Linked DNA regions of Mus musculus. The main gene of each other region encodes a partner of the protein of the gene in region 2 in a complex. Links are inferred from orthologs where the notes say so. Each region holds a gene or a part of one and is shown on either strand. Other genes may lie near its edges. The genes, in order: Lsm3, Snrpf, Ppih, Prpf8, Eftud2, Snrpd2 and Srrm1.

Evidence for each region.
Region 1: Snrpf (region 2) and Lsm3 share a complex: the UniProt entries of both Homo sapiens proteins name them as parts of the U4/U6-U5 tri-snRNP complex. The link is inferred for Mus musculus from reciprocal best matches to the Homo sapiens genes SNRPF and LSM3.
Region 3: Snrpf (region 2) and Ppih share a complex: the UniProt entries of both Homo sapiens proteins name them as parts of the U4/U6-U5 tri-snRNP complex. The link is inferred for Mus musculus from reciprocal best matches to the Homo sapiens genes SNRPF and PPIH.
Region 4: Snrpf (region 2) and Prpf8 share a complex: the UniProt entries of both Homo sapiens proteins name them as parts of the U4/U6-U5 tri-snRNP complex. The link is inferred for Mus musculus from reciprocal best matches to the Homo sapiens genes SNRPF and PRPF8.
Region 5: Snrpf (region 2) and Eftud2 share a complex: the UniProt entries of both Homo sapiens proteins name them as parts of the minor spliceosome. The link is inferred for Mus musculus from reciprocal best matches to the Homo sapiens genes SNRPF and EFTUD2.
Region 6: Snrpf (region 2) and Snrpd2 share a complex: the UniProt entries of both Homo sapiens proteins name them as parts of the SMN-Sm complex. The link is inferred for Mus musculus from reciprocal best matches to the Homo sapiens genes SNRPF and SNRPD2.
Region 7: Snrpf (region 2) and Srrm1 share a complex: the UniProt entries of both Homo sapiens proteins name them as parts of the minor spliceosome. The link is inferred for Mus musculus from reciprocal best matches to the Homo sapiens genes SNRPF and SRRM1.

What each region holds. Positions count from the first base shown.
Region 1 is NC_000072.6:91,519,035-91,523,120, reverse strand, and holds the end of Lsm3 (U6 snRNA-associated Sm-like protein LSm3), read right to left. Parts: intron 3,573-4,086; coding exon 3,477-3,572; intron 881-3,476; coding exon 800-880; 3' UTR 501-799; downstream 1-500. UniProt on the Homo sapiens protein: Plays a role in pre-mRNA splicing as component of the U4/U6-U5 tri-snRNP complex that is involved in spliceosome assembly, and as component of the precatalytic spliceosome (spliceosome B complex).
Region 2 is NC_000076.6:93,586,859-93,591,002, reverse strand, and holds the start of Snrpf (small nuclear ribonucleoprotein F), read left to right. Parts: upstream 1-1,344; 5' UTR 1,345-1,461; coding exon 1,462-1,464; exon of another isoform or gene 1,465-1,590; intron 1,591-2,879; coding exon 2,880-3,005; intron 3,006-4,144. UniProt on the Homo sapiens protein: Plays a role in pre-mRNA splicing as a core component of the spliceosomal U1, U2, U4 and U5 small nuclear ribonucleoproteins (snRNPs), the building blocks of the spliceosome.
Region 3 is NC_000070.6:119,317,724-119,321,885, forward strand, and holds the start of Ppih (peptidyl-prolyl cis-trans isomerase H), read right to left. Parts: upstream 2,801-4,162; 5' UTR 2,752-2,800; coding exon 2,686-2,751; intron 2,511-2,685; coding exon 2,446-2,510; intron 2,131-2,445; coding exon 2,107-2,130; intron 1,842-2,106; coding exon 1,797-1,841; intron 864-1,796; coding exon 821-863; intron 1-820. UniProt on the Homo sapiens protein: PPIase that catalyzes the cis-trans isomerization of proline imidic peptide bonds in oligopeptides and may therefore assist protein folding. Participates in pre-mRNA splicing.
Region 4 is NC_000077.6:75,503,777-75,506,861, forward strand, and holds part of Prpf8 (pre-mRNA-processing-splicing factor 8), read left to right. Parts: intron 1-701; coding exon 702-815; intron 816-891; coding exon 892-1,065; intron 1,066-1,318; coding exon 1,319-1,512; intron 1,513-2,553; coding exon 2,554-2,793; intron 2,794-2,887; coding exon 2,888-3,029; intron 3,030-3,085. UniProt on the Homo sapiens protein: Plays a role in pre-mRNA splicing as core component of precatalytic, catalytic and postcatalytic spliceosomal complexes, both of the predominant U2-type spliceosome and the minor U12-type spliceosome.
Region 5 is NC_000077.6:102,878,176-102,882,451, forward strand, and holds the start of Eftud2 (116 kDa U5 small nuclear ribonucleoprotein component), read right to left. Parts: upstream 2,801-4,276; 5' UTR 2,720-2,800; intron 1-2,719. UniProt on the Homo sapiens protein: Required for pre-mRNA splicing as component of the spliceosome, including pre-catalytic, catalytic and post-catalytic spliceosomal complexes. Component of the U5 snRNP and the U4/U6-U5 tri-snRNP complex, a building block of the spliceosome.
Region 6 is NC_000073.6:19,148,430-19,152,637, reverse strand, and holds the start of Snrpd2 (small nuclear ribonucleoprotein Sm D2), read right to left. Parts: upstream 2,801-4,208; 5' UTR 2,746-2,800; coding exon 2,744-2,745; intron 1,421-2,743; coding exon 1,241-1,420; intron 163-1,240; coding exon 1-162. Other genes in the region: Qpctl (glutaminyl-peptide cyclotransferase-like protein), read left to right, coding at 3,453-3,662, 4,119-4,208. UniProt on the Homo sapiens protein: Plays a role in pre-mRNA splicing as a core component of the spliceosomal U1, U2, U4 and U5 small nuclear ribonucleoproteins (snRNPs), the building blocks of the spliceosome.
Region 7 is NC_000070.6:135,350,347-135,354,446, forward strand, and holds the start of Srrm1 (serine/arginine repetitive matrix protein 1), read right to left. Parts: upstream 2,801-4,100; 5' UTR 2,772-2,800; coding exon 2,751-2,771; intron 1-2,750. UniProt on the Homo sapiens protein: Part of pre- and post-splicing multiprotein mRNP complexes. As a component of the minor spliceosome, involved in the splicing of U12-type introns in pre-mRNAs. Involved in numerous pre-mRNA processing events.

The DNA.
Region 1 (4,086 bases), on a different chromosome or scaffold from region 2:
CCACAGCCCTTGCTCTATTTTCTCTATTTCACAACAGGGTAACCACCAAGTGTTGGCCCTGTGTTCTTGTGATTCTATGTGAAGCGTAGGCTGGCTGAAGCCGGAATGGAAGTAGCTTTGCTTTCACTGCTTCCTGCTCAGACTCCCCATGTCCTTGTCACTGGCGGCCTATGAGCCAGGACTGGAAGACAGTTTCTTCAGAGTCACACAAGTCATGTTTTGCATTTACCCAGTAGGTTGACAGCTGGGGTCACGTGCCTCCCTTGTCTAGTTCTTACTGGGTGCTACCTGAGCTTTTGGGGCCCCTAAGACAGGTAAGGATATTTGCAATGGCCTCCCACCCCAGAATTGCTAGAACAGCACTCCCTCAGATAAGGGCAGGGCAGACTGGCCACTCTCCTTCCTCACACCCAACACGATGCCCTAGACATGGGAGACACACTGAACACACCAGGTAAAAACTTGAGAATCCACAAGACACATTAAAAAAAAAAGTAATAAAAAAGGAAACATCAAATTTAATTTAAAGAAAAACAACCTGAAAGTAACTGCAAGAACAATGGGCAAACCAACTCCTGAAAAGAGCAAGACGGTCACACTGACTGGAGGGCTGGAGAAAGGGACAGGTCATTTAGCTGGAGAGCTTGTGAGTTGCTTGCAAATGAACTTCTTCGAGGGTAGAGTGATCCTGGGGTCATTTCTGACTATCAGGATTCGTGTGAGCGTCTCTCTCTGGGAGTGTCCTGTACATCTCAAGAGGCAAAGTCTCCACTTTCCTACACAGGATCCATCTTTTGTCTCAGCCAACTCTCAATGGAGGGGCGACTAGAACGACGCCATCTCCCCGGACGAAGAGCATAGGGATGTTTCGTTTTGTGGACTGGAGGAGAACAAAAGGGAAAGGCAGGATCAGGGTAAGCAGTCTGAGTGCCTGTTTCCTGGGTGACCGCAGCAGGGACCACTGCGCACCGAGACCCACTCTTCTCTCGCTGTGCACTGCTAGAGTGCACTTTCCAGGCTTCTTTGTGACCAGACCCGGACACAAGGTAGATGGTTTTGTGTTATTTTTTTGAGATGGGGTCCGTCTTGCTGTGTAGCCCATGTTAGTCTGAAATTCCTAATTCCTATACCTCTCACACCTCAACCACAAGTGCTGGATTATTATTAAGATTTATTTTCACTGTGTGTGTGTGTGTGTGTGTGTGTGTGTGTGTGTGTGTGTGTGTGTGTGACTTTTCTGGCACTTGGGTTCTTGTATGTACATGATACACATGAACTCAGATGCACACATACATATAAAAATTAGATAAATGTAAAATAAAAACAAGTCAGACATTATGGCTCATGACTGTAATGCTAGCACGGAGAAGGCTAAGGCAGGCAGGTCTCCATGAATTCAAGTACAACTCAGCTACATGGCACATTTCAAAACTGCCTGTGTTATAAGTAAAGACTGTCCCAAAACACATATTAAAAGGAGAAAAGCAGCAGCAAGTGCTCTTGGCCTCCGAGCCGCCTCTCCAGCCTAGGTGCTGGGACTGCAGGAGTTTGCCACTATGCCTGGTTTTGAACTGACTGGGGGAGAGGGTGCTGGGGATTGAATTCTTTCACATTCTGAGCGAATGCGTTACTACTGAGTTACATCCTCAGCTATGGCGGAATTTTAGCCATGGATTTCAAGAGTGACTTCCTTTGAGTGTCAATGGGTAGTCACTGTTTACCAATGGATGGACCCTGTACACTGAGATCTCAAGGAACAGGAGGGTAGAAGTTTAATGTCCCCAACTTAGCACTATGCTGACTGTAGGCCAGGCCTCAGCCTCCAGTGAGCCCAGTCATCACACCTGCTTCTCTGTACTCCTGGGGGTGCGAATGGGGAACACAATTTCCAAGGCTTTAGCTCAGTGGTCAGGCTTTGGGCAGTCAGCAAACATGGTGCATCTGGAGTCATCACTAAGCCTTGGTAAAATGTTAGCAGAACCTGGAGCCAAAAACCTCCTGAGCCTATAGACTGTGGAGACGAAGGCTGGAAAAAGCCAGATGTTTGTAAGTGCTCTGGTGTGACAGATACATTCAACAGGGCAGTACAAAAATGAGATCAGGCAAGAACTGGCTAGTTATCAGGAAGACAAAAAGAAACAAAGCCAGATGCTTTTAAGCCCAACTATGTAAGTACAAAAGAAGCTGTGATGAATAAGCTTTTCAGTTAAAACCACTCTGTCCTCAGGCAAAGACCATGCAGCTGCTGAAGGGTAGGGTTAATCAGGGTGGTCTGAGAGAGACGCTGTCTCCTTGGTTTCCAAAAGGTCTGTAATTATGTGAGGACTGGTGCTTTAGGATGAGGTCAAGATGGTTCTGCTACAAAGAGGCCATCACCAAGAGCAACCTGTCAGTTAACCACACTGTGGGCTATATGGTGAAGGAAGGGGATGAACATGATGGACAGCAGGAAAAGTGGGCTAGAGCCAAAACACTTTAGCAATCAACAAGAGCAATACTCTAACTGTGGTGGACCGAGAACCAAAAGAACAGGGCCAACCACTTTCTGTCTTCCTATTAGCTAGTTGGTCTCAATCCAGTCACTCAGGAGTTAATCATAAACACCGTGAGGGGAAAACTCTGGGAATCCTAGTGGTCTGTAGGCCCCTTCCTATTTTGGAAATGTTCCTGTTCATTAGTTATGTCAGCTGAGAGAGGGCAAAACATACAACGGGCCAAGGGGAAGCTGCTGTCTGGTTTCCCATCTCAAAGGTAACGAGCGATATAAGGCAGCAATGTCGTGTTCTCCACAGTGCTGCATGATAAGGACTGTAGATACTACCTACAGCACCAGTCTGTCCTGCCTCTGTGTGTAGTCAAGGCACATGACACATTCGTAGAGACCATGAAGAGATGCTCAGCAGTTAAGAGCATCGGCCACTCTTCCTGAGAACCCAGGTTCAATTCCCAGCATTCACAGGGTGGCTCGTGACTGTTTATAACTCTAATTGCAAGGAATCTGATGACCTCCTCTGGCCTCCTTGGACACCAGGCATGCACATGGTACACAGACATACACAGACATCCAGACACATAAATTTTAAATTTAAAAAGAAAAGAAACTATTGCATTTGTGGGCTTGGTGTGGTGGCACAAGCTTTTAATCCCAGCACTCATGAGGCAAAGGCTCAGACCAATTCAGCTGACAGGAAAGGGCACTGTCAAACTCTTGAGCTGCCTCTAGGCTGTGCAGTGTGTGCCAGGTTCCAGCTTTGTGAGCTGTCACCCATGTTGGGGCAGGCTTTAGTGATACAGCTGTCTTTAAGATCAGTGTTAAAAACAGGTTGTGTGACTCCAAAAACACTTGCATTTTAGTTATACAATCTATTAACCGTTCCTAAGTAGGTGCCAGAACATAATGGGCTTTCCACAAATATGTGTTAAGCTGTTGCATGTTGAGAACTGACATTGTCAAAGCAAAGACTTGCAGGACTCACTTTATATATCTCTTCATATGTCTCCTCATCAATCTCTATCGTTGTCACAGTTTCTTCTACATCTCCCAGGATCATATTTAAATGTTGATCATAAGCCTGAAGTGGGAGGGTGAGATATGAGAAACAAGTAACATGGCTCAAAAGATACAAGTGGATTTTAAGTAACAGGTTCAATACTTACACCCAAAATTTTACATGCAAATAACAAACACCCTCTGTGCTAGCCTATCATGTCTTTACAAGCCATTCCCAGTGACAATACTGCTTATGATAAAAAGTGAGTCCACTCAATGCAACCCAAGAACACTTAAGCATCGCCTTCACTTGTTACCCAAGGCGGTCCCACCAGTCACAATAGTTTATTATGAAAAAACAGCAAATTCTGTCAGACTTCTTTTGAGATACTAAGCAGCATAAAGTCCTGTCACTTGCTGTGTGATAGGACCATGGTTCTCAAGCAAGGACACTGTCATTCGATGCTCACAACAAAACAGGTGCAGCAAAATTTGACCCATTTTTGTGGACATGGGTATGTGTGTGGTGTACATGTGTACTACATGTTTACATGTGTGTGGATGCCAGAGGTTGAAGCTGAATGCCTTCCTCAGTT
Region 2 (4,144 bases):
AAGGAGAAAAATACTAACATGAATCTGTCTGAGTCTAATTCCCAGTATTTCATCACCTACAGTATTAAATTAGAAGTTGGACTAGGTATCCCCAGGATTGTGAGTTTAAGATTTATAAATTTGTCAATGCTGACTGAATAAGTAGAGCATATTTGAGTGTCAGGAACAGTAATTATTCTTCCATTACCATGGGAAAAAAATCCGAGCTAAGATTTCGGTCTGATCAAAATGTATCTGAGATTAGCAGCATCATTTTTAAAATTTTCTTTATCATGTTTTGTCTGCATGTGCGCATGTGCACCGCGGGAGGGCCTGGCACCCACAGAAGTCAAAAGAGAGAGATGGGTCCCCGGCACATGAAACTTTGGATGGTTGTGAGTCACCACCATGTGGGGATGGGATTCGAACCCAGGTCTTTTCACGTGCGAAAAGCGCTCTTCTCCATTGAGCCAACACCCCCAGAATGTGTTGGCATACTTTAATAATATAAACGACAGTCTTTAGGCTTAGGCCTGGGCCAATCTCGAATCTCGAGTTATTTGGGGAATCCATGCCAAAAAAACAAAACAAACAAACAAACAAAAAACCGTTCAGGTTCATATAGGGTTAGATCTCCCGAAAAAGAAAAAAGTACTCTTTTTACACGGGTTTCATATCACAGGTGAAGCGATACTGAAATGTTGAGATTATGGGGAAATTAAACGGGGTTCTGATCGATAACTTTCCATCAGAGCGATTAACCTGTGGTAGCGTCAATAATTCCCCACATCCTATTCACAAACACACGTAAACGGACCTCCTTTGGCCTCTGGTTCTGGGAATGCTTAGACATCAGAACGACAAGAGGCCACCACATTATCCGAGACTTAACTTGACCTGGTTTCAACTGTTGTAAAGCCCCACTTGAGTGCTTTTCACTAGCACTCACGTAGTCTTGCTACCCCAGCTTCCTTTAAAAACCCGCAAGTGGACGGACATTCTGTAATAAAGAACAGTCCCATAAAAGGGGGGCCGTGCCAGAGGTGTTCCCCAAGTGCTGGATCTATGGGAGGATGACCTCCAGAACCCGATCTCGTTCTTTCAGCTGAAGGACAGACTAAACCTTCTTTAGCTAAAGAAACCAAGTCCGTTCGCCAGGGCACTTAGCTTCCCCTTGTCCCGAAGCAAAGACATTGGGGTCGCTCAATCGTTCCCACTTCGAACTTGAGCAGTGGACACAAACACACGCTTACCTGGTTGCTAGGAAACAGTACCGCCATCCCCTCCAATCAGTAAACACGTCTTTGGTGGCCAATCACAGAAGCCGAGACAACGCGGCGTGAGGTGAAAGGTCAGGCCGCTTTTGTCGGCCATTTCTCTTAGCGCGGGTCGCTTGGTTGTAGCGGCAGCCGCTCCGGTCACGAGGGGCGGGCAGCGGCGGAGTCGGCGGCTAGCGGGGTGCAGCGCTCGCCGGTGGTCGCGATGGTAAGGACGATGAGCGCCGCGGGGGCTGGAGGACGGGCGGCCTCGCGGGGCCCGCCGCCCCCTGCGCCTCCCATTCATCCCCACGAGGCGCCGCGCGGCTGGCCGCTCGCTCCTGCTCCCGACGTCGGAGGCCTTGGCGGCGCGCGCGCGGAAGCCCTTCCCCTCCCCGAGATCCCCAGCCACCTTTCCGCGTGTTGTTTGTCCCGGAGCCTGAGGTGTAGCCTAGTTTGGGCTCACAGGGTAGGGGTAAACCGAAGCGAGTTTTCCATTTCTACCTAGCACGCTCCGCAGTGCGCCATTTATTCCTTGCTGTTGACAATTTTAGCAGATTGTCCTCTGGCGCAGAAAACCCCGGCTACCCTTCCACTCATTTAATACTGATCTTAGGCGCCAGGAAGATGGGGTGGTAAGGTAGACTCTGCGTTTTCTTAGGAGTGGGAGGTAGGCAGCCGTCAAATAATAACAACAAAATAAGCAATTACAAGTAGCGGTGATTGTTAAGCAGGGAGCTGATAGGATGCTCTGAGAGGTGCACTGCCTAGTTATAACGCAGTGGAGGAGCGCTCTTCTCCAGAAGGTGTCAAATAACCAGACATCCAGGTCACAGAGCAGGTGGAAGAGTATTTCTTGCGCGAGTTCCAAGTAGAAAGTAGGTTTGACCAGTTGGAATTGACAAGAATTGACCGCTGCTTGCAAGAATGATGGTTTTAAAATACAGCCTGGGACCTTAACGCCTCCTAGGAAATATGAGGCTCTGTCAAGTGCAGTTAGAGACCATTGGAGCATTCTTTTAAGTCACAATAGTACATGACTTGATAAGTGGTTTGTGGATGATAAATTATAGGCAGCGTAAATTGGCTACTCATTTAGACCCTGTGCTCTCCAAGATTCTTTGGGATGGTGTGTGAGTGGAATGGAGTATGGGGGTGGTTATGAATTTAAAGGGAATAATACTTCTTGATTTAGCATTAAGAGGCCCTCTCACTGACGATATTGAGCTTTTTTTTTTTTTTTAATGTCTGCAGAGACCACCCTGTACCTTTATTTTGATTCCTTTAGAGCTTGGATAATGTAGGTATTTGGGGCTTTTGTCCATTCGGCAGTGCTCAAAATGGAACTAGTGACCTAAGTATCCTAGGGCAGTGCCCTGTCATTGTGTTACACACTTGCCCCACTCCCATCTGTCATTCGACATTTAATTGCATAATTCATATTTTCGTTTCTGTCAGTGGACTATGAAGTTGGCTAAATGGGTACTTAAATTTCTCTCAGACACCCTCCAGCAAATTATAAAGTGATGGTGGATCGGAGTTTACCCTGTGTCATAAAGTCTTGACTGGTGTCTCAGTAGAGAGTGGGTGGTGGAAGCTGAGGTAAGCAAAAATTATTGAGTGCTGCCTTTGGTTTTTATACAGAGTCTACCCCTCAACCCCAAGCCCTTTCTCAATGGGCTGACAGGGAAGCCAGTGATGGTGAAACTTAAGTGGGGCATGGAGTACAAGGGCTACCTGGTCTCCGTGGATGGCTACATGAACATGCAGGTATGCTGAGGAGGAGGAGCATGGGTGAGGAGCAGGAAACCAGGTTTCTACTGTGTCACCTTACTCCTCAAAGGTTTACTGAGACTGGTGGGAATGCGCACAGATTGACAATAGAAAGTGGAGTCGAGATTAAAGTATGAACCAGGGAGGAGGTTGAACCATGATGTTCTTAGGAGTACTTACACCAGAACACAGAGCTTTGACATTTGGTCTCTAAAGCAGAAGGGAAAACTAGTTTATTACAGAAAACAATGATTCAGCCTGTCTTTTTCTAAGACGTGTCTGTATAGGCGATTAGCACTATGATGCAGTGGCATTAGTACTCAAATGGAACTCTGTACCCATTAAATAGTTCTGTTACCACCTGTAATCCACCTGTAATCCAGCCCTATGATTAAGAGTGGGACTGTCTCTCATGTAAGTGGAATGTATTATAAATTCAGCTAACTTCAGATCAAAAATTCTTAAGAGAAATTATATCTTATGTTCGAGGTACACAGTCCTTTTGCTTTCTCCACTGTACTAGGCTATGATCAGTCTAGAAATTAGAAGGACATTAGGTTCTATGCAGATGCTCAGCTATTTGAAACAAGGAGCTCCAACACCCTTGGTCCTAGAGGCCCTGGAACAAAGCCCCATAAATGCCCTGGGGTAGGCTTTTTGTCCTTTTGTCTGGTTTGATTATAGCTTCAGGATTCATTGATAGAAGTTACTGCTTTTCAGGACTGAATAATATCCCGTTATATAGCTATAACGCATTTTTACAGTCTATTATGTTTGTTTGGTTTTTTTAAAACATTATTTTATGTGAGTACACTGTCACTTTCTTAAGACACACCAGAAGAGGGAATTGGATTCCATTACAAATAGTTGTGAGCTACCGTGTGGTTGCTGGGAATTGAACACAGGGTCTCTGGAAGAACAGTCACTCTTAACTGCTGAGCCATCTCTCCAGCCCCATCTGTCCAGTTTCTTGTAGGGATCAAGCCCAGACCTCTGTACATGCTGACCAGCAGTCTGCCACTAAGCTACATTCTCAACCTGTTCATTCATTTTGATTTCTAGTTTTTAATTTTATTTTATGGATGTCTTGTCAGTGTACTATGTATATGCCTGCTGCCCATCAAAGTCAGACAAGG
Region 3 (4,162 bases), on a different chromosome or scaffold from region 2:
CTAAAGCCTGCCATTGCAACCCTGTGTAGGAGGAAGACCTCTAAAGACTCACAAAAATCTAACTAAATTTACAACTGATGGAGTAAGACCATCTCTCAGACAAAAGGACTTAGTAACACACCCACATAAACAATGCTAACAGCAAGGAGACAGCATGCACAGAGGTGGATGGGTAAGGAAAGAGCTGGTTTAAGAAAGAGATATTCTAGCTTATTGGACACACTCCAAGGAAGGATGGAGACACCAACAGTCATGGTCTTTTTGTGAAGAATGGATCTGCTGGGCTACCTCAGCAAGCAAGCGAACACCCTTTAAACTTCCTGTCTCTCCTGATCTGATCCCTTGCTTGCTAACCAGCTTGTGATTAATACCTTAGCTTTCAAAAGGAAAAGAGAAAGAAAGACCGGCCCCTAACCCCCCCCAGAGCAATCCAACAAAAAACTAGAGTTTTTAGACAGTGACAGAAGATGTGCAGATGTGGAAGGAAAAATGGGAGACAAAAGCAGTCAGCTCCCTTCCTTTTGAGGGAAAAATTGCAGTCAATTTCAAAGTTTTCTGTGAACAATGAATGTGGACCGTCTCAGATCACCTATAGGTATGCCAGCAAAGCCCAGTTTCTAGTTACAAACAGCTAGGGTTTGGAAAGTGGAAGTTTATGGTTCAGTAGAGTATTGTTATGTGTTCTAAGGACACAGTCAGTGGTAGCCAGCAACTCTACAGTACATCCCATGCCCTCTCCACTTAACTTAGCTATTGCTCTTAAGTCTCAAGACTAGGGCCCTGCCAGAAAAAAATAACAAAGAAAAGAAGCAGTACTTACATTAACAAAATCTCCACCCTGAATCATGAAATCCTTTATGACCCTGAAACAGTTAAAAAAAAAATCCTGAGAAAAGATTCAGTGGATTAATCACTGAAGCTTAGAAAAGGGCGAGCAAGTACAGTCTTAACTCAGTTGATCTTAGATGCGTGAGTTCGCACCTGAACATCAGGAAGGGGCTGAAACCAGGCTAGAATCACCAACAGTCACCAAAGGAAAAAATCATGTCCAGGGCTTATTGCAATTTGGGGGAAAAGAACAACAGCAAATCTAGGTGAATGGACTACTGCACACACAGAGACTTGATGGTGTTAGCTAGTACACCAGCTATGGCCCTTCGCTTTGCTTAGCCTTCCTTGAAGAACTCGGAAAACACATACTACTTCACAAGAATGCTAGGGAGGGTTACAGACTGTAGCTTTAAAGCCCTTATGTGGGAGACATGGACATTTTCAGGATTAGAATAGAGCAACTTCTGTCAAACTCTAACAAAAAATAAGTAAATATATCATGAAAGCCAGGCTCCTACAGATGACTGCCTAGCAACGGTAACTAGCAAAGCCTCTGCTGAAGTCCTGACTGGCGCCAGGGAGATGGGTCAGTGGGTGAAGTGCTTGCTGTGGCAGCCTAAGGATCTGAGCTTAGACCTCTGGGAGCACGTGGCCACGCACCTGTACTGAACAGGTACTGAAAGGGTACAGCATGCTTTCCTTGGCATCGTTTCTGCAATACAGCATTCCACCAAGTCAGGGATGACTTAAGGCGCTGTGCATAGGCTTCATGGTGTTCAGTACCAAATCCAGGGCCTTATGAATGCTGGGCCAATTCTCTACCACCGAGCTACAGCCTCAGCCGCGAACATGCCATTTAAAACAACAGCCGTAAGCCTCACAGAGTTTGAACTCAGGTGTGCAGGACTGCCTGTACAGATACCAAGCAATGACTGCATTTCCAGTTTTCCAAAAACCTCCCTTACCTGTGGAAGGTGCTTCCTTTGTATCCTATCGGAACGCCATCTTTTCTGTAAACAAAGAAGGAAGAGACTTGGAATGGGGAAACACAATGGTGGGCCTTTCCCATTTAGGCTACACCAGAGGCTAAAAGGGCTCTCACTAAGATCTGGAGGGGGAAAAAGAGAGAGAAAGAACCCATTCAAGGTGTCACCCTCTCTCTGCATATCATCTTCCATTACTTAAGACCTGTTCATGGTTCTCCAATACCCTCACCAAACATCCAGGGCACCCCTTCAGGAGTAGGCAGAGAAATCAAACACATCTGAGACTGACCTGAACTCTCCGGTGCAGAATTGCCTAAAGGGAAAGAGAGAGCAAACGATTTAGCCTTCGTACGATCACTGCTTGAAGCACCTCTAATCTCTGGAGAGGAGAGTTCAAACACTGGGGCCAGTATGTCCGCCAACTAACTGATCGGGCGGATGTCAGGGCAGGTAGACTAGTGATAGAAGTTGATATGGGATCAGTCACAGCCGGTAGCTGTTTGGCCAGTGAAATACCCAGACCACAGAGCTGCAAGGCAATGAATAGATGGACAGAGGCAGACATGGCAAAGACCGACTGGAGGCCGGCTTCGGGCTCAGCTCTGGTTCACTTGGAGCATATCCTTACCTAAAGTTCTCTGCCGTCTTAGGCACCACGTCTGCAAAGAGCTCGATTTTCATGCGACCAACTTCCTGCAGAAGAAACGGGAGACGCAACACTCAGCTCACGACCGCTGTCCACGAAGCTCGAAAGCTCCCACCTCCCTCCGCCGCCTGGCCCAGCCGGTCTCGGGAGGGCTATAAGGGGCTGCCTCCCTTACCCGAGGCCAACCAGCCCGCACGGGCCGCTAGGTCGCCCGCACCTCACCTGGCCGCCAATGCTGACATCGAAGAAGACCACTGGATTGACTGGACTTGAATTTGCCACCGCCATGGCTTTGACCCGGAAGTAGAAACCCGGCTTCCGGTGGCAGGTCCCGCGAACTTCATCCGGAGCGCAGACGCAGTGGAAACGGACCGCGATTGCGCCCCGCCCCGGAAGTGTGGCGCGCGCTGAGGTTGTTGGGAATGGTACTGTTTGGCTGAGCTGGTCGGAGCTGAGGGGAGGAAACGCAGGCATCTTTGTCAAAGTCTGTGGGCTCCCCACTTGCATGACTGTATTAGTGCAATAGAAATGAATCTTCTGCAGACAGCATGTCCTGAGCAGTCACACTTGGTGTCCCCTGTCACAGCTCATGAGCCGAGGATCCCTGAGTCACCTTCCATATTTTAAAATGGTTTGTTACTGTAGCCTGGCTCAGTCGGGTGCTGGAAATGTAATTTTATTTATTTTCTTATGATTGTAAAATTTTTTATTTTTTAATTCACATTTACATCCCCAGTGCTGCCGCCTCTCCCGGTTTCCCCACCCCCTCCTTCTCTTCTCCTCTGAGAGGGTAGAGACCCCCTCTGGTTTTCCCTCCACCTTAGCACATCAAGTCTCTGCAGGGCTGGCCTCATCCTCTCCCACTGAGTCCAGACAAGCAGAAGAAACGAATTCCACAGCAGGGCAACAGCTTTTGGGATAGCCCCTACTCCAGTTGTTCGGGACCCACATGAAAGACCGTGTGTGTGTGGGAGGGGGCTAGGTCCCGCCTGTCTATGCTCTTTGGTTGGTGGTTCAGTCTCTGAGAGCCCCAAGGGTCATAGTTGACTCTTGGTTTTCCTGTGGAGTTCCAATCCCCTCGGAGGCCCTCAGGAGTCCTCAAGCTCCATCGGATGTTTGGCTGTGGTCTCTGCATCCCTGAGTCAGCTCCTGGGTGGAGTCTCTCAGGACAGCCATGCGAGGTTCCTGTCTGCAAGCACAACAGTCTCAGGGATTGTTGTTTGCCCATGGGATGGGTCTCTAGGCTAGTAAATCGTATGGGGCTTTGCCTATTTAAAATGCTGTTTGCCACTGCTGGTAGCAAAGACCAGGAAGTAAAGGCTGGCTTCTCTTATACCACTTTTACCAAGTACCCTTCTGCCTCTGTTTTGGAGGGCATTCAGTTGCTACCCCCCCCCCCTCTTTTCCTTCTCTCATGCTTGCTCCGGCCCAAAGATACTTATATGTAAGTACACTATACTTGTCTTCAGACACCCCAGAAGAGGGCGTGGTTGCTGGGATTTGATCTCAGGACCTTCGGAAGAGCAGTCAGTGCTCTTACCCACTGAGCCATCTCTCCAGCCCTGGTTGTTACACCCTTTAAGGTTTTTTGGTTTTTGTTTTGTTTTGTTTTTGCTTTTGGTTTTTTGAGACAGGGTTTCTCTGTATTGCCCTGGCTGTCCTGGAACTCACTCTGTAGACCAGGCTGTCCTCGAACTCA
Region 4 (3,085 bases), on a different chromosome or scaffold from region 2:
AACCTGGCTGTCTCTCTTGGTAGAGGGCAAAGGGACATGATAAAAAAATACCAATTTCTCTACTGAGAAACAATATTTCTGGGTAGATCTTTGCAAGTTTGAAGCCAGCCTCTTTTTTTTTTTTTTTTTTTTTTGGTTTTTCGAGACAGGGTTTCTCTGTATAGCCCTGGCTGTCTTGGAACTCACTTTGTAGACCAGGCTGGCCTCGAACTCAGAAATCAGCCTGCCTCTGCCTCCTGAGTCTGGGATTAAAGGCGTGCGCCACCACGCCGGGCTGAAGCCATCCTCTTTTATATATTGAGTTCTAAGCCATCCAGGACCGCATAGTGAGATCATGTCTCTAAAAATTAAATATCGGGGGGGGGGGGGCGAGACACGACACCTACAGAAGCCAGGAGCATCAGATCTGGAACTAGAGTTACAGGCAGTTGTAAGCTGCCTGGTGTGGATGTTGGGTACCACATCCTCACGTCTTCTGTAAGGGCATGATCTTAATCTGATGCCAGTAGCTCTGGCGCCTGTCTTACTTCACTGTTTCTGAACAACTATAATTCATCATTAAACATGTAGGCATCTTTTTCTGATTACTAAGTTTAGCATCCATGTTCGTCGTTATAGAAACAGTTTATTTCAAGATTTTTTTTTTTCTAGATAATTGAGGAAGGTAGACTCAGTTTGTTTTGTTCCTTTTTGGTTATTAGTTGGCCAAGTGGAAGACTGCTGAGGAAGTGGCTGCCCTGATCCGATCTCTGCCTGTGGAGGAACAGCCTAAACAGATCATTGTCACTCGGAAGGGCATGCTGGATCCTCTGGAGGTGAGAGGTGGACACAGTAGAAGGAGGTAGGCCCACGCCCTCTGGGCTGTGTCTCTGACCTCGGGCTTTCCTTTAGGTCCACTTACTGGATTTCCCCAATATTGTGATCAAAGGATCGGAGCTCCAGCTGCCCTTCCAGGCTTGTCTCAAGGTGGAGAAGTTTGGGGATCTCATCCTTAAAGCCACCGAGCCCCAGATGGTCCTTTTCAACCTCTATGATGACTGGCTCAAGACTATCTCCTCCTACACGGTAATTAGATGCTTAGGAAGAGGGCCTCTCTGGGGTGAATGTGGAGTCAGGAGAGGAGCCTGTGTGCCTCAGGGTTCTCCAGAAGCCACTTGATGAGGTCAGTTTAAAATCTGAACCTATGTATACAAAGAGCAGGAACTCTTGCAGAGGGGTTGGCACCTTAAGCAACTGGGGACAGTGAGGCTGTGAGGCTAGGGTAAAGGAGGAGAGAGCCTCACAAAACTGATGTCATGCTTTGCACGTCTTTTCCCAGGCTTTCTCCCGTCTCATTCTGATTCTGCGGGCTTTGCATGTGAACAATGATAGAGCAAAGGTGATCCTGAAGCCAGACAAGACTACTGTTACGGAACCCCACCACATCTGGCCCACGCTGACTGACGAGGAATGGATCAAGGTGGAGGTACAGCTCAAGGATCTGATCTTGGCTGACTACGGCAAGAAAAACAAGTGAGTAGGGGCCAGGTGTCCCAGTGCAGCGAGGGGAAGCCTGGCTCAGGACATAGGCTCTGGAGTTTGGAAACATTTAGGCTTATCAGTTTCTCAGATATTTTACCTGTGTTTGGTAATGCATGCCTATAATCCCAGCACTCGGGAGGCAGAGGCAGGTGGATTTCTGAGTTCGAGGCCAGCCTGGTCTACAAAGTGAGTTCCAGGACATCCAGGGCTACACAGAGAAACCCTGTCTTGAAAAACCAAAAAAAAAAAAAAAAAAAGAAAAAAAAGAAAAAGAAAAATAACATCTTGGAAACTTAGGAAGAAACACAGATCTCAGTGAAGGCATTGAAGCCATTTTGAACAGATTCACTCTCTTTTTTTGTTCCTTCTGTCTACATTTCTCTTGTGTTTTGAGACAGGATTTCATTCTGTATCCCAGGCTGGCCTTAAAGCTTCCAACAACCCTCTTAACCTTGTAGCTGCTGAAATATCAGTATGTCTCACTACACCCAATTTGGGGTTTCCGTTTTTGAGAGTTGTCCTGTGTCAGGACAGTTTCTGTGGGAAAAGCTACAGCGGTGAAGTAGCTTAAGGTCGTGTGCATTAGTGTGGTGCTGCTTGGCTGTAGGGAGTCTCCACAGTGTGACAGCGTCTTCAGGTCCAGGGGTACAGGTGCTTGCTATCAGGAGTTCAATCTCTAGAACCCACAGGAGGAGGAGAAACCTTCTCTAACTTTGACCTCTGCATTTGCAATGTGATACATGGCTTCCTCCTCCAGAGCAGATACATTTAAAAATTAAAAAGAAATGTTACCGGCTGGAGAGCCATCTGTAACGAGATCTGACTCCCTCTTCTGGAGTGTCTGAAGACAGCTACAGTGTACTTATATAAATAAAATAAATAAATCTTTAAACAACAAAAAAAGAAATCTTACTTGAGGATTATCTTGGCAGAGTATACCCACTGTCTCCCCAAGTCTACTTTGTCATCAGGACAAAAGGGACTTGTGGGAAGGAAGAGCTCCTTCTCTTTTAACTCTCAGTGTCCCCACAGCGTGAATGTGGCGTCACTGACACAGTCAGAAATTCGAGACATCATCCTGGGAATGGAGATCTCGGCGCCATCGCAGCAGCGGCAGCAGATAGCTGAGATTGAAAAGCAGACCAAGGAACAGTCCCAGCTCACTGCTACACAGACTCGAACTGTCAACAAGCACGGTGACGAGATTATCACTTCAACCACTAGCAACTATGAGACCCAGACCTTCTCATCAAAGACTGAATGGAGAGTCAGGTACCGTGGAGGCATGAAGGTGGGATGGGCAGGCCTGTTGATGTTGCTGCATGGGCTTGCGCTGAGATGCTGGCATTCCCTGTCTGTCCTTTAGGGCCATCTCTGCTGCCAACCTGCATCTGCGGACCAATCATATTTATGTTTCATCTGATGACATTAAGGAGACTGGTTATACGTACATTCTTCCGAAAAACGTGCTTAAGAAGTTCATCTGCATATCTGATCTTCGTGCCCAAGTGAGTAGCTATGGCACACACCTGGACCACAGTGTGAGCCCACTTAGTCTGCGTCT
Region 5 (4,276 bases), on a different chromosome or scaffold from region 2:
AAGCTAACATGTGGATGATGAGAGTTGAACCTGGGTCCTTTGAAAGAGCAGTCAGTGGTCGTAACCACTGAGACATCTTTCCAGTCCCATCTGGCTTTATTTTTACATTTAAAATAGGTTCTCACTGTTATCCCAACCTGGCCTTCAACTCAAGATCCTCTGCCTCTGCCCCCCCCCCCCACATAACAGGTGTACAAGTAATGCCTAGTCCACCTATTCCCTTTCTGTATTTATTTAATCAATTAAACTGTGTGTGTGTGTGTGTGTGTGTGTGTGTGTAATTTTATGCATTGGATCATTTAGGAACATGAGGATTGTCATGTGAGTTCTAGGTAGGATCTAACTCCAAGTCTTCATGGTTGCCTAGCAGGTACTCTGAAATGCTAAACTCTCTTTCCAGCATCTCACTTAAAAAAAAAAAAATAGTATTCTCAAAATATCACAATGCAATCATCAAAATAAAAATGAATACCAGCAGGTTATACTACCTAATCCACAGGCTCCACCAAGTTTGAGAAACTGTTCCAGTCACAAACGACACTGCTAAGGACACAAACTAGGATCGTACTTGACTTTCACGTGACACTTTTCCAGATTACAAACCAAGGCTTTTGAAGAATCTCCCTTCGTGTGGCTTTGCCTCTGCTCTGAGAGGTACACGATTCCAACTTGTCCTCACTGATGATTCTAACTTTGACCCTTAATTATGGTGACAGCGGACATGCTTGTCCCTTAGTGATGGGTAAGAACTCATTGTTCTCACTGCTCTTTTAAAGGACCCAGGTTCGAATCTCATCAACCACACGCTACCTTACAATTGTCTGCAACATCAGCAGATTTCCCCCCACTTCAACGACTGAATATTCTGTTCAAAAGAACAGTTTAGATCTCACCCTACCAGCCTTCCCAGCCCCTCAGCCTCTCACTCTCGTCAGTATCTTCTGTCCCAAATGCTAGGCAACTGTTGTTATTCTAAAAAACAATTCTACGGTTTGCGAGCAACACAAACCAGAGCAGGGGAAAAAGCATCAGGCCCCTGGGGTTAAAGACCTCGATCCATCCTATCTTGGCCTCATTTCTAAGGATGACGTAACTCACAGAAGTTAGTTTACCTCCTTAGAGTGATTTATTATTGCCTAAAACCTTATAAAGGCAATGAGTAAGTACCTAGCTGTGCAGCCTGATAACCTGAGTTCAGTCCTGGAAACCCACTGAAAAGCTACATAGGGTAGTGTGAGTGTCTGTGATCCTAGACGGCCAACAGGAAATGGGAGGCAGAGATTCTCTGAAGCTCAGAGCCAGCTAGCCTGGTATTGGCAGTAAGGAGGAGATAGGACCAAACCCTGAAGCTGTCCTCTGACCTCCACCTGCAAGCCACAGCACATCTGATCCTCACTTACTACACAGAAACACACACACACACACAGAAACACACACAGTGTGATTATCCAAGCATAGGATCTTATACCCATGATCCTACATACATCCTGAGAGACCCTGTCTCAAAAAGCAACAAGTAACAAATGTTGGTCATAACAAAACTTGACCTTCTTGAGCACGTGAATCCCCATGCTCCTTTGTGTTCACGCACCAATGCCCCTGACAGCACCTTGCACAAAAAGACACTCAGTAAAGCTAAGGGAGTGGAATGTTTTGTTCTGAAATTCTGGTATTTCTTACAGTATACCTACTGTTTTTATTTCTAAGAGGCAACCACAATTATGTTCATTGTCTTCTCCCAAGATTACCATCACAAATTTTTAAAGAAGGTTGTTTACTGAACAAGCCAAACTCATCTCTGCCCCCAGGATAATTGTCATTCCCATTGTCCTCTGGCTATGTATACCTTCTTAATTCATTTAACTCACCCTTTTCCTTTAATGTCACCTATTTGTCACTCCACATATACTTGCCAGGCCACCCTTACACTAATCTCTTAGTGTGTGGCTGGGTGCTTAAGATCGAATCCTGGGCCTCACACTCTACTAAACACTTCTCCACCGAGTTACACCCCTCGCCTAAGTAAAGTCAAGGTTATGCCTGAGTAGTACTTAGGGAACATGTGTGTGTGCCCGCTACTGATAAATGTTAATAATAAAATAGGAGCAAAACGACAACAGTGCCTGGGACAAAATAGGCCCTCAATACGTTTTGCTAGTTTTGTTTTTCGAGGGTGGCTTTGGGTAGGGGAGTGAATTAGTGATATGCTTAGTTTAAGTAAAGCTACTCTAAATAACCAAAACTGCATCTTCCCACTGCAACGCAGAATCTCAAAGGAATGCTGGAATCTTTTCTGGTTTTGGCTTTTTGAACCAGACCCGCTACTTAGCCTTGAACCTGCACCAATATTTCTGTCTGCATCTCCAGAGCGCAAAAATTAGGCACTCGCCATCACAGTCAGCTCGGATGCAGAATAGTTTGAAGATGGAGACAGTCTGGCGGTGAAGCAGGCACCGATGGAAGGGGGAGTGGCAGGGGCCTGGGTCTTTACAGCGCCACCTCTACTAAGGGACAGGATCTTAACCACGTTGGGGACCGCGGAAACCCCGGAATCGACGGTGTGTGCGTGCGTTGGGGTCTTTCATTCTCTTTCCCACGCCAGAATTCAATTTACGCGTTCGTTAAGCGAAAGGGATAAGTACTATATAAATCGCCTCTTCCCAAGCTCATGTTTCGCTCGTTCCCCAAGCCCCGAAAGGACCCTTCCCGGCCAGCTCACCCGCCGAATGCTCAGCCGAGTGCCCCGGTCCGCCGCCTGAGCCCGCGCTTCCGCCGCACGCCGCGACAACGCCGGCGCCCGGCGCTAGGAAGGACCCCGAGCGCGTCGCCGGACCGCCTCGCCTCGGAGGACAGCTCTGCCTAAGGAACAGCTTCGAGAAATTCTGGCCCCGGAGACAGAAATGGGAAAGGCCAACTTGTTGGTCCTCAAAACGAAGCGTGGACTTCTCCACAAAAAAAGCAAGGCCGGAGGATTCTGATCAGGCGCCTTAGGACAGCCTGAAAGGAGGGCCTTCGGGCCGGTCACGTGGGCAGACTGGTGGCGCCGTTGCTAGGCAACAATCTCTGTTGCGAGGGCGATGCACTAAGGTGTTCTACCAGATCCGGGGTTTCTCGAGAGAAAGCAGGGAGTCCAAGACTGGGTGAGGGTTTAGGGACAGTAAAGGGGATTGCTCTAGTCATTCTATAATTGGAGAAGGCTTAGAACTCGACAGAGAAATGGGTCGGGTAGCGAGAGTCTATCGTCTCTATTGCTTAGAGGCTGAGCCTAGATCATGATGAGCTCAGAAGTTTTGGAGAGAGCAAACTAGGCACAGCGAGATCTCCTCACCCCCCAAAATATTGCTTAGGGTATGAGACTCTTGAGTACAATTGTTGGCTGAGTAACACAGCCCACTTCTCGGCGTTCCATTTCCCATCATGGTTGGGATGGCTGTGGATTTGCTTGCGGACCAGCTCATTTCCTGCCCTAGGGCTGATCATGAGTGAACTATGGCTCCAGCTCACCAGGATTCTGAGGTGGAAAGAGGTATCATAAGTAAATGTCAGAAGCCAGACCGGAACACATAGCTTCCTATGAAAACAGCCCCATCAGACACATACCGGGAGGCGGCAGGACTTCAGTGGTAGGACTGGAGATAATGCCCACACAGCACACATTTGCCTGCCGCTCTGTGCTGCTCAGGGATTTGGGGATGGAGGCTACTGAGTTTTCTCCTTCTGACACTTCTCAACTTCCTGCTTTGTCATTGCTTTTGGTTGAGGTGATTTTTTTTTCTTCATTAAAGACATTTAGTGAAGTGTGAAATTTTGTCCTTGAGCTGGAGTAGATAATAAAAGAAACCTCTCTGTCTCTCTCTGTATCTGTGTCTGTCCTCCCCTCTCCCCCCCTCCCCCGCTCTGTTCCTTTATGGTAATAAACTGATATAGAGAAATCCTATGTGAAAGAATGAAGAGTCAGAAATCTGAACTCCAAATTGCCTCCTCAGATGAAACACCTGAATTAATAGGTGTGTGTGTGTGTTGTGGTTTTGTGTTTTGCTGGGGATCAAACCCAAGGCATTTGCATTCACAAGGCAAAATCCTACCGCTGATCCAGCCCTTAGTGTCTAAAATATTGTTAGAAGCAGAGAGCAAAGTCAAGACTTCAAACGGGAAACCTTTCTGTTTTGTTCTCAGTGAGAAGCCTGGAATACATTTTCATCACGCAATTCCATTTTACCTGTAAAGGAAGAAACTAGATTTTTATAACACTCCAGGTTAAGTATCAGATTGCTTT
Region 6 (4,208 bases), on a different chromosome or scaffold from region 2:
ATGAGTGGGTTCCGCAGCACCACGATGACCGAGTCCCCGCGCAGGAACATCTTGGAGATGTAGCGGTCCTTGTTGACAGGCTTGGATTTCTTCTTGCCCTTGCCGCTCTTGGGAACCTCAGTCCACATCTCCTTCACATTTTCCAGCACCATGTTGCAGTGCCTGATGGGGTAGGGGTGGGGGGGGAAGCTGGAGTAAGGGGGGGCATTCCGAGTGCCCACCTTTGCCTGGCACTGTGTGAACTCTCCAGCAGCAGGCATAAGGAAAGCCCAGGCTCCACAGTGGGGATGGGCAGGCTGCAAAGTGATTTCACTTTATAGTGTCCCTTCTGTGCCTCAGTTTCCCCCTTCATGAAATGGAGACAGTCTATTTCATAGGGCTGGTGTGAAGATTGGATGAATAAAGAACTCAGGACCCAGCAGAGTAAAGCCCACCAAAATGGCCCTGGCTCTGGCGTTAACTCTAACTCTGAGAGAAACAGCAGGAGAGAAGCACTTGCTCCCTCCAGAGGGTCTTAGGGTGCTGGGGTTAGACACGGCTCCCAACACGCGCACTCCAGTGCTGCACAGTCCTGTCCTCATGGGGCCGGGTGGCCATTGTTCACACTTGGATCAGTTCTTTCCACAAATGCTTGCTTGAGGACAGTGAATAAGAGCAAAGTACAGTGCCAGATGTGTATGGCTAAGTCACAAGGCAAGTCCCATGCTAACTAAAACAATAAAGCAGGACGGCATGCTTCATGCAATCCTGTAATCCCAGCGCTCGGGAGATGGGAGCAGGAGGATTAGAAGTGTAAGGTTAGCCTCTGCCACATCTGTAGCCAGTTCGAGCTACATAGTAAAGACCCTGTCTCAAAACAAACTACAAAGCAATACAAGATATTTGACACTGATGTCTGGTCTACAGATAAACAAATCAAATATCGAAATTCCAGTCCAATTTCCTGCCAGGGGATTCTGATAACTACTAGACATGTCCATAGCATACAGACTCATATGCAGACAAAACACCTAAACACGTAAGATATGTATTATAAAAAGGTTAAGCATCGCCACTTTCTACATTTTTGAGCTAGGTCGTGCCATGAGACACTGGCTGGCCTCCAACTCATAGTGATTCCCCGAGTGCTGAGATTAAAGGTGCTTTGTCACCGTGTGTGCCCACCTTATTATCCTTCTGGAATGACCTTTCCTTCAGGCCCCTCGGACCCAGACCCAGCCCTCCCCAAGACAGCACTCACCTGTCAAAGGCCTTCACCCGGCCCAGCAGCTTCTTGTTGTTGCGACAGTTAATGAGCACTTGCGTGTTGTTCTTGACCGACTGCGTGAGCACTGAGAGGGGACCTGTGTTGAATTCCTCCTCCTCCCGCTTCTGCAGCTCCTCTGGGGTCATCTCACTCTTGGGTTTATTGAGGAGACTCCTGGATAGAGAACCCAGGGGTGAGATGGGTTCAAGTTGGAAATGTACGTGATCAAAGCCACACTGTCCAGTGTCTCCCCAGCCCCCTTTCTGGTGCAGTCTTTTCTGGAGGCAGGAGAGACATTTCCATGGTAGCCTGCCCCGGCTCATCTACCTAACCTCTTCCACCCACCGCTGACCTTGAATTCTCAATTCTCCTGACTCCACTGCCTAAGGTCTGAGATGACAGAGGCTCACCATCATGCCTGGCAGTTGATTCTTCTTTCAAACCTTACTCTATCCTTATATCTTGTCATCTGCCACCATGGTACATCCAAACCTTGGCCCTTTCTATCCGCAACCTAAACTTCAATCATCTCTCTCCATGAACCTCCGCCCCACCCCACAACATCTCACTGTAGAAGCCTGGCTGCCCCAGAACTCAGACTTGTCTCTGCCTCCTGAGTATTGGGAGTACAGGCACGTGCCACTATGTCTAGTTTGTGTGTGGTTAAGGACCAAACCCAGTACCCACAGTAGGTAAGTACTCTGTCCACTGAGCTAAATCTGCATCCCAAGAACTGGGCTTTCAATGCATCCTACTGTGCTACCTACTGGCATTATATCTTTCCTGCTCAATTCTCCATCCAAACCTGATTATCTAAGGTGTATGTACCTATTTATTACTCTATGGCTTTCCTACTCCACTCTTTTTACAAGCACCAGGGAGATTCCCCCACCCCCTTGGAGGCAAGGACCTTTTATTTACCATGTGTCTTAACTTACAAGCAGTCTACATAGTATATGCTCAATGAATAAACACGCACCAAACCACTGTAGTACCCTGCTACTCTGACAGTCTCTAGTTAGGTTCTCTAATTTATCCTGGTTACGTCCCATACTTTTCACTATTTCTAACAGTTCTTCCTTCCCCGCCAAGCTCTTTATTCATAAGACCACTTCCATTTAAAATTACTATTACTTTTGGAAGCGGTCTCGCTATGAAGCTGGCCAAGGCCAACTAGCGAACCTCCTGCATCAGCCTCTCGAGGCCTGGGATTCCAGGCATGTGCCATCAGACTCAGCTTTCCCTTTATGGTTCCTTTCCACAAGACTCAGGACCTCGGAGAGTCTCATGCCCGTTATGGAATAAAGCTGTCCCCTCTCCGGAACTCAAGATCCGAGCGAGGCCCCAAGCCCGATCTCAAATACCCCAGAAGGAAAAACATTACTTTTGCCCGAGGAACTCTACCCTCAGCTATAAAAACACCCCATTTCGACCGTTATTCAGCTAAACTGTCCACCTCCATCTCCACGGCCCCGCCAAAGCCCAGCCCGGCCTCACATGGTGTAGGTTTCGCTCGCAGATCACTCCCGCCTCCAAGCGCGTTGCTCCAGCCTTTGGCGTACAGGGCGAGAAGGGCGGGACTTCCGTCTCCTGCGGCTCACTTCCGTCGGCGCCTGCGCAACCAAATACCAGCGGCTGTGGGCGTGGCCTGTTACCATAGCGACCCTTCAGGCTGCACTCTCCTGTAGAAAATGCCTATAAGGAGGATTTGAAGCTTCTGAGGATCACAATAGGGTGTCTGCTCATGAGGAAAATAATACGGGGTCTGACTAGAATTATTTTCCCGTCAAACCGTCCAGTTGGAAGATGGAAAACACAACCCCATTTCCAAATACCCTCGGACACTTTTCTTGAGGGCATGGCTTCAGGTAAACCAATCGGCTCCTTGTTTTAGGGATGGATGCCGCCCCTTTTTTCCTTGAACGACAGTTTCTTGATCGACTTCCGTGAGGGGCGTGACCCCGCGCCTTGGAAGGTTTCGCACATTCGGACGCAGCCCATTGACTGGTCCTCTTCCGTGGAGGCGGGCCTTAAGGTTTCCGCCCTCCTTTTTGGGTGGGGCGGCGCTTAGGACAGCCAATCGCAATCGTCTCAGGGAAGGACGCAGTTACTCTGCTTCTTTATTGGGTTTTGTAACCTCAGCGAGGCGGATCTTGGCCTAAAACTCAAACCACCATACCGGGATTGGTTTCAGAGCAAAGCTACCATGAGTCCCGGGAGCCGCGGGCGGCCCCGGCAGCGGCTCGAGGATCGTGGCCTCATGAAACCACCCTCACTTTCCAAGCGCCGTCTTCTGCCGCGAGTGCAGTTCCTGCCCCTGCTGCTGCTGGCGCTGGCTATGGGCTTGGCTTTCTATATCGTCTGGAACAGCTGGCACCCTGGGGTTGAGGAGATGTCACGGAGCCGGGATCTGCGGGTGAGCCCTGGCTGGTGCCCAGCCAGCGTCATTTCCCTCTTTCCCTTCGTATTGAGTCTCAGGTTACCGTGGTCTTATCATTTGGCTTTTGCCGCCTGTGCCATTTATCCATGACTTGAGCGCGTGCCCCTACCCAACAAAATAAGGCTTCAGGCTTGTTTTGTGATAGACCCCACTGAAGATGACGAGTCCTCATAGCAACACTGGTAGAACTGAGTTCTATGCCCAAGCCATCTATTTAGAAATTTCCATCACCCGATTGCAATTTCCTCGTTAGGACTGCGGTAGGCTGGACCAGATTTGCTTTGAAGATTTCTCCCAGTCTAGGAAATCTTTGATGCTGGAGATTTGCATTACCAGGAAGAGCCAGGACTCCTAGTAGGCAACGGCGCCCAGGATAAGGTGGGAATGGGGTTGTTTTCATTTTTCTTTTTCCCATCCCATTTCCCAACCAAGGTCCCGCTGATCGGAAGCCTTTCAGAAGCCAAGCTGCGGCTGGTGGTAGGGCAGCTGGATCCGCAGCGTCTCTGGGGAACTTTCCTGCGT
Region 7 (4,100 bases), on a different chromosome or scaffold from region 2:
CCTAGTACTGCAAAACCAAAAAGGTTTTAAAGAAAAAGAAAAAAAGTTTTGGGCCAAGAGTGGTGGCATATACCTTTAGAGATAGGCCATCTCTAAAGAGTTCAAAGCCAGCCAGGAGTGGTGGCGCATGCCTTTAATCCCAGCACTTGGGAGGCAGAGGCAGGCTAATTTCTGAGTTTGAGGCCAGCCTGGTCTACCGAGTGAGTTCCAAGACAGCCAAGGGCTACATAGAGAAACCCTGTTTCAAATAAAATAAAATAAAATTCAAAGCCAGGCTGGTAAGAGGTCCTGAGTTCAAATCCCAGCAACCACATGGTGGCCCACAATCACCCGCAATGAGATCTGACGCCCTCTTCTGCTGTGTCTGAACACAGCAACAGTGTACTTATTAATAATAATAAATAAATCTTTGGGCCCGAGTGAGTGAGGTCCTAAAATTCAATTCCCAACAACCACACGAAGGCTCACAACCATCTGTACAGCTACAATGTACTCATATACATAAAATAAATATTAAAAAAAAAAGTTCAAAAGCTGTCCTGGTCTGCTTTTGATCTTATCAACCACCTCTTCAGAAAGAAAGAAAGAAAGAAAGAAAGAAAGAGAGAGAGAGAAAGAGAGAGAGAGAGAGAGAGAGAGAGAGAGAGAGAGAGAGAGAGAGAGAGAGAGAATGCTATCACCAATTCTTTTTTTTTTTTTTTTGGTTTTTCATGCACCACCACGCCCGGCTTACTATCACCAATTCTTAAATCGAATTCTACTCAGAATCAGGTTGTACTAGGTAACTGATCTAAAATTACCTCCCCACCCCCATTCTCCCCTTTTTAAATTTTTTTGAGACAGGGTTCTATGTAGCCTCACTCTGTAGACCAGGCTGGCCTCAAACTCAGAGATCTGCCTGCCTCTGCCTCCCCTCCCTCCCAGAGTGTTGCGATTTAAGGTGTGCGCCACTGCCTAGTAAGTTTTTCTAACTCAGAACATAAATCCCCCACTTTGTCAGTGTGTAGCATATGTCTGAAATTCTAGTACTGAGAAGTCAAGGCAGGACTCTCTAGGTCCAAGGCCAGTTTGGGTTAGAGAACCCAGTTTCAAAACACTTCAACTGCCCCTGCCCCCAAAAGACCCAACCCAGGGAAAACAAAACTACTTCATTTAAGTAAGTGTAAAAAGAATATTTTAAAAAGTGGGTTATTTTCCAGATCCTGTCCTTTTCAAAGGACATCTTCGCCTGAAAATTGACATATCGCTTTGTTTTAGTTCTTCAATCTCCTTTCCACTAGAAATAACTGACAAGCCTGGCCAGGGTGCAAGTCTTCATTCAACCCCAGCATTCGGGAGGCAGAGGCACACAGATCTCTGAGTTCAAGGCTAGCCTGGCCTACAGACTACAGAGTTCCAGGATGGCCAAGGCTACACACATAAACCACTTCCTGAAAAGGCAAAACAAAAACTGAAGGGGGTGGGGGGAGAAAAAGAGACAATTGACAAGTGAAAGAAACCTTCGACTGTTTTTAAGTGTTAACTTCGGTGCCATAAGAAATGAGTACTGACTACAAAGGTTAAGTGCCTAGTTTGTAGTGCAAGTATCTGAGGTGCTGGAGATAGACCCCAGTGTCTTGTTCATACTAGGCAAGCTCTCATGAACCACATACAAGAAGCACCTTTATTATCTCCCTCCTCCTTCCCCCGCCTTCCAATTTTTTCTTTAAAAATGCACACAAACTGTAAACTATATGCTTGATTCAGAGAATGCAAAACTCTAAGCAGTGGTATGACAGAGAGCTGGTATCTGGATTTTTACCAAGCTGTCTTACAAGGTTCTACTCTGCATTACAAGAATCAGCGATTCCTAAAGGGTTTGTTGCTACTTTTAATCCCACAAGTGTACGTTCCCATACATCTAGATCTCGACCTGTAGCTACTTTCCTTCCAAAGTGGACCTAATAAACTGCCTTACTGTGTGGGATCTATGTACCACCTCCAAGGTAACGTCCCCTGCCTGGACATGGGCCGCTGGGAAAGGGTGCTAGCGAAGAGCGGGAAGCGCGACGGAGTCACAACCGTAATCTGTCTCCACCCTCGCACACACCGTTCACTCCAAAAGCCTCCGATTCAAATGTTCCAACTACAAATTATCTAAGCTCCCCTCCCCGAAGAGCTATCAAATTGGGCGGGAGCGCTCACGAACTCTGACCCTGCGCCGCCGGGAAAGCTTAAGACCCAGAGGGTGGACGCTGTACGTCGGGGTTTGGGGGGGGGGCACCCATTTTCTCCAAAGCTGCCACTAAAAAAAAAAAATAATAAGGCCCCTTTCCTCAAACACCTCTCAGGACGGAGCCCCAAACCATACAACCGGTACCCCGCAGCCGCCCCGGGCTTCCCACCGGCCTCCCCCTAAAGACTTCCTCCTTGAGGCTCCGCTAGGCCCCGAGCCCGGGCGGCCGGCGCGGCGCCCGGCCTACAGGGCCTCGCCAGGCGGCCGGTGAGGTTCGGCTCCAGCCCATTCCCGCCGCCATTTTCCGGCCACCGCCACCGCCGCGTAGGGGGGGACGATCCCGGAGGAGGAGACTGCGCAGGGGCGCACCGGTCTCGGCCGCAACGCCGAGGCCGGGGGACGCTGCCCACGAACCCCCTCGGGGTCTCTAAGGCCTTCCTCCGCGGGCCGTCCTGTCCGGGATTTTGAGCGCCTCCCCCTCGGGTCTTACAAACAAGCCTCTCGCCTCTCCCCGGATCCCCGCGCTCGGACTTACGCGGAAGAATCCCGCGTCCATCTTGCCGCCTCGCTCGGAGATCGCTCCCTATCCCAGCGTGCACCGCGCCGCCGCGACGGAGGGCGGGACCGGCAGAAGGGAGCCCAGCGCCGGGAGGCTGCGCGCGCCGCTACACCCGCCCCGCTCCGGCGGGCCTGCGGCTGCGCCTGCTCAGTGCGCCACGAGAACGACGCGCATGCGCAAGCGCACCAGGGCGGCAGCCTTTCGCTAGGAGGGGAGGCGAGCTGGGCGACTGGAACCAATGGAAAGAGGAGGGAGAATCTTTGGGTCGCCCAACCCTACCGATCTTTTTTTTTTTTTTTTTTTTGTGGCGCATGATCAGCGGTGTTCGCGCGACTTGAGTTGATCCTTCCTTTGATCCGTAGTGGGAGGATGTGGGGAGTTGAAGGGAGATGGGGGGCGGGGGGGAAGCCTCAGTCCTGGGGTGCATGGGTAGTCATAAAAGAGAATGCTTGCTTAGGGGCGGCCCGATACGCCAGTTGTTGTCATTGTGAAAGTTGAGCTAGGAGTGGGTTTTGGGAGGTTGCCGGCGGGGTTGAGCCTGCAGCGTCAGCTCGTATGAAGCCCGCGTGTTCGCCGGATGTGCGTCGCATCTGGCTTGTTCTTGAGGTGTCCATTGGATACCTTTCTGTGCTTCTGCTGCGAAACCACGCCGAAGGGCAGGAAGTGGAAGAGGGCCAAAACCGGCCCTTTAATGTGCTCACCAAGCGCTTTCTCTCCAGAAAAGTTTCTCTGGGGCCACTTTGTAACATTCCATCTTTCACAGACACGCGCACCTCTAATGCTTTTTCATGGAAAAGTCGGGAAGTGGGCATGTCTGCCCTAGGAGTGCTAGTGTAGAAACCCGAATGTCTCCAGGCATTTTTTTTTTTTTTCTTTTCCTGGCTTTCCTACTTAAAGGGGGTTGACTTTCCCATTTGAACGCCCACAGACCAGATATGACTAGGTTCGTCTCGTCCATCAAAATCATCAAATGAATCGAAATAGCAGGGAAATCAGAGAGGCTGTCTTTGAGCCTTCTCTGTCTCTGTAGATGGCAGTAGCTTTCCTTTTGTTTAGGACAATCTTGCTGTTGAGAGTCCTCTTTCCTGCACACCCCACTCCCAAGCCCTCAGGAAACACACATGCCACTATGATGGAGGCCCAAGGTCCCTTATCTGAGTTGAACTCCTGCACTAGTTCTGTCACAGATAGCCCTGTTCCTGACCTTGCCACCCAGCATCCATTCTGAAGGAGGCCCGGATGCTGAACGATGCTGTTGAAAACCCTAGGTATCTCTGTGAGTTCAAGGCCAGTCTGGTCTACAGAGTGAGTTCCAGGACAGCCAAG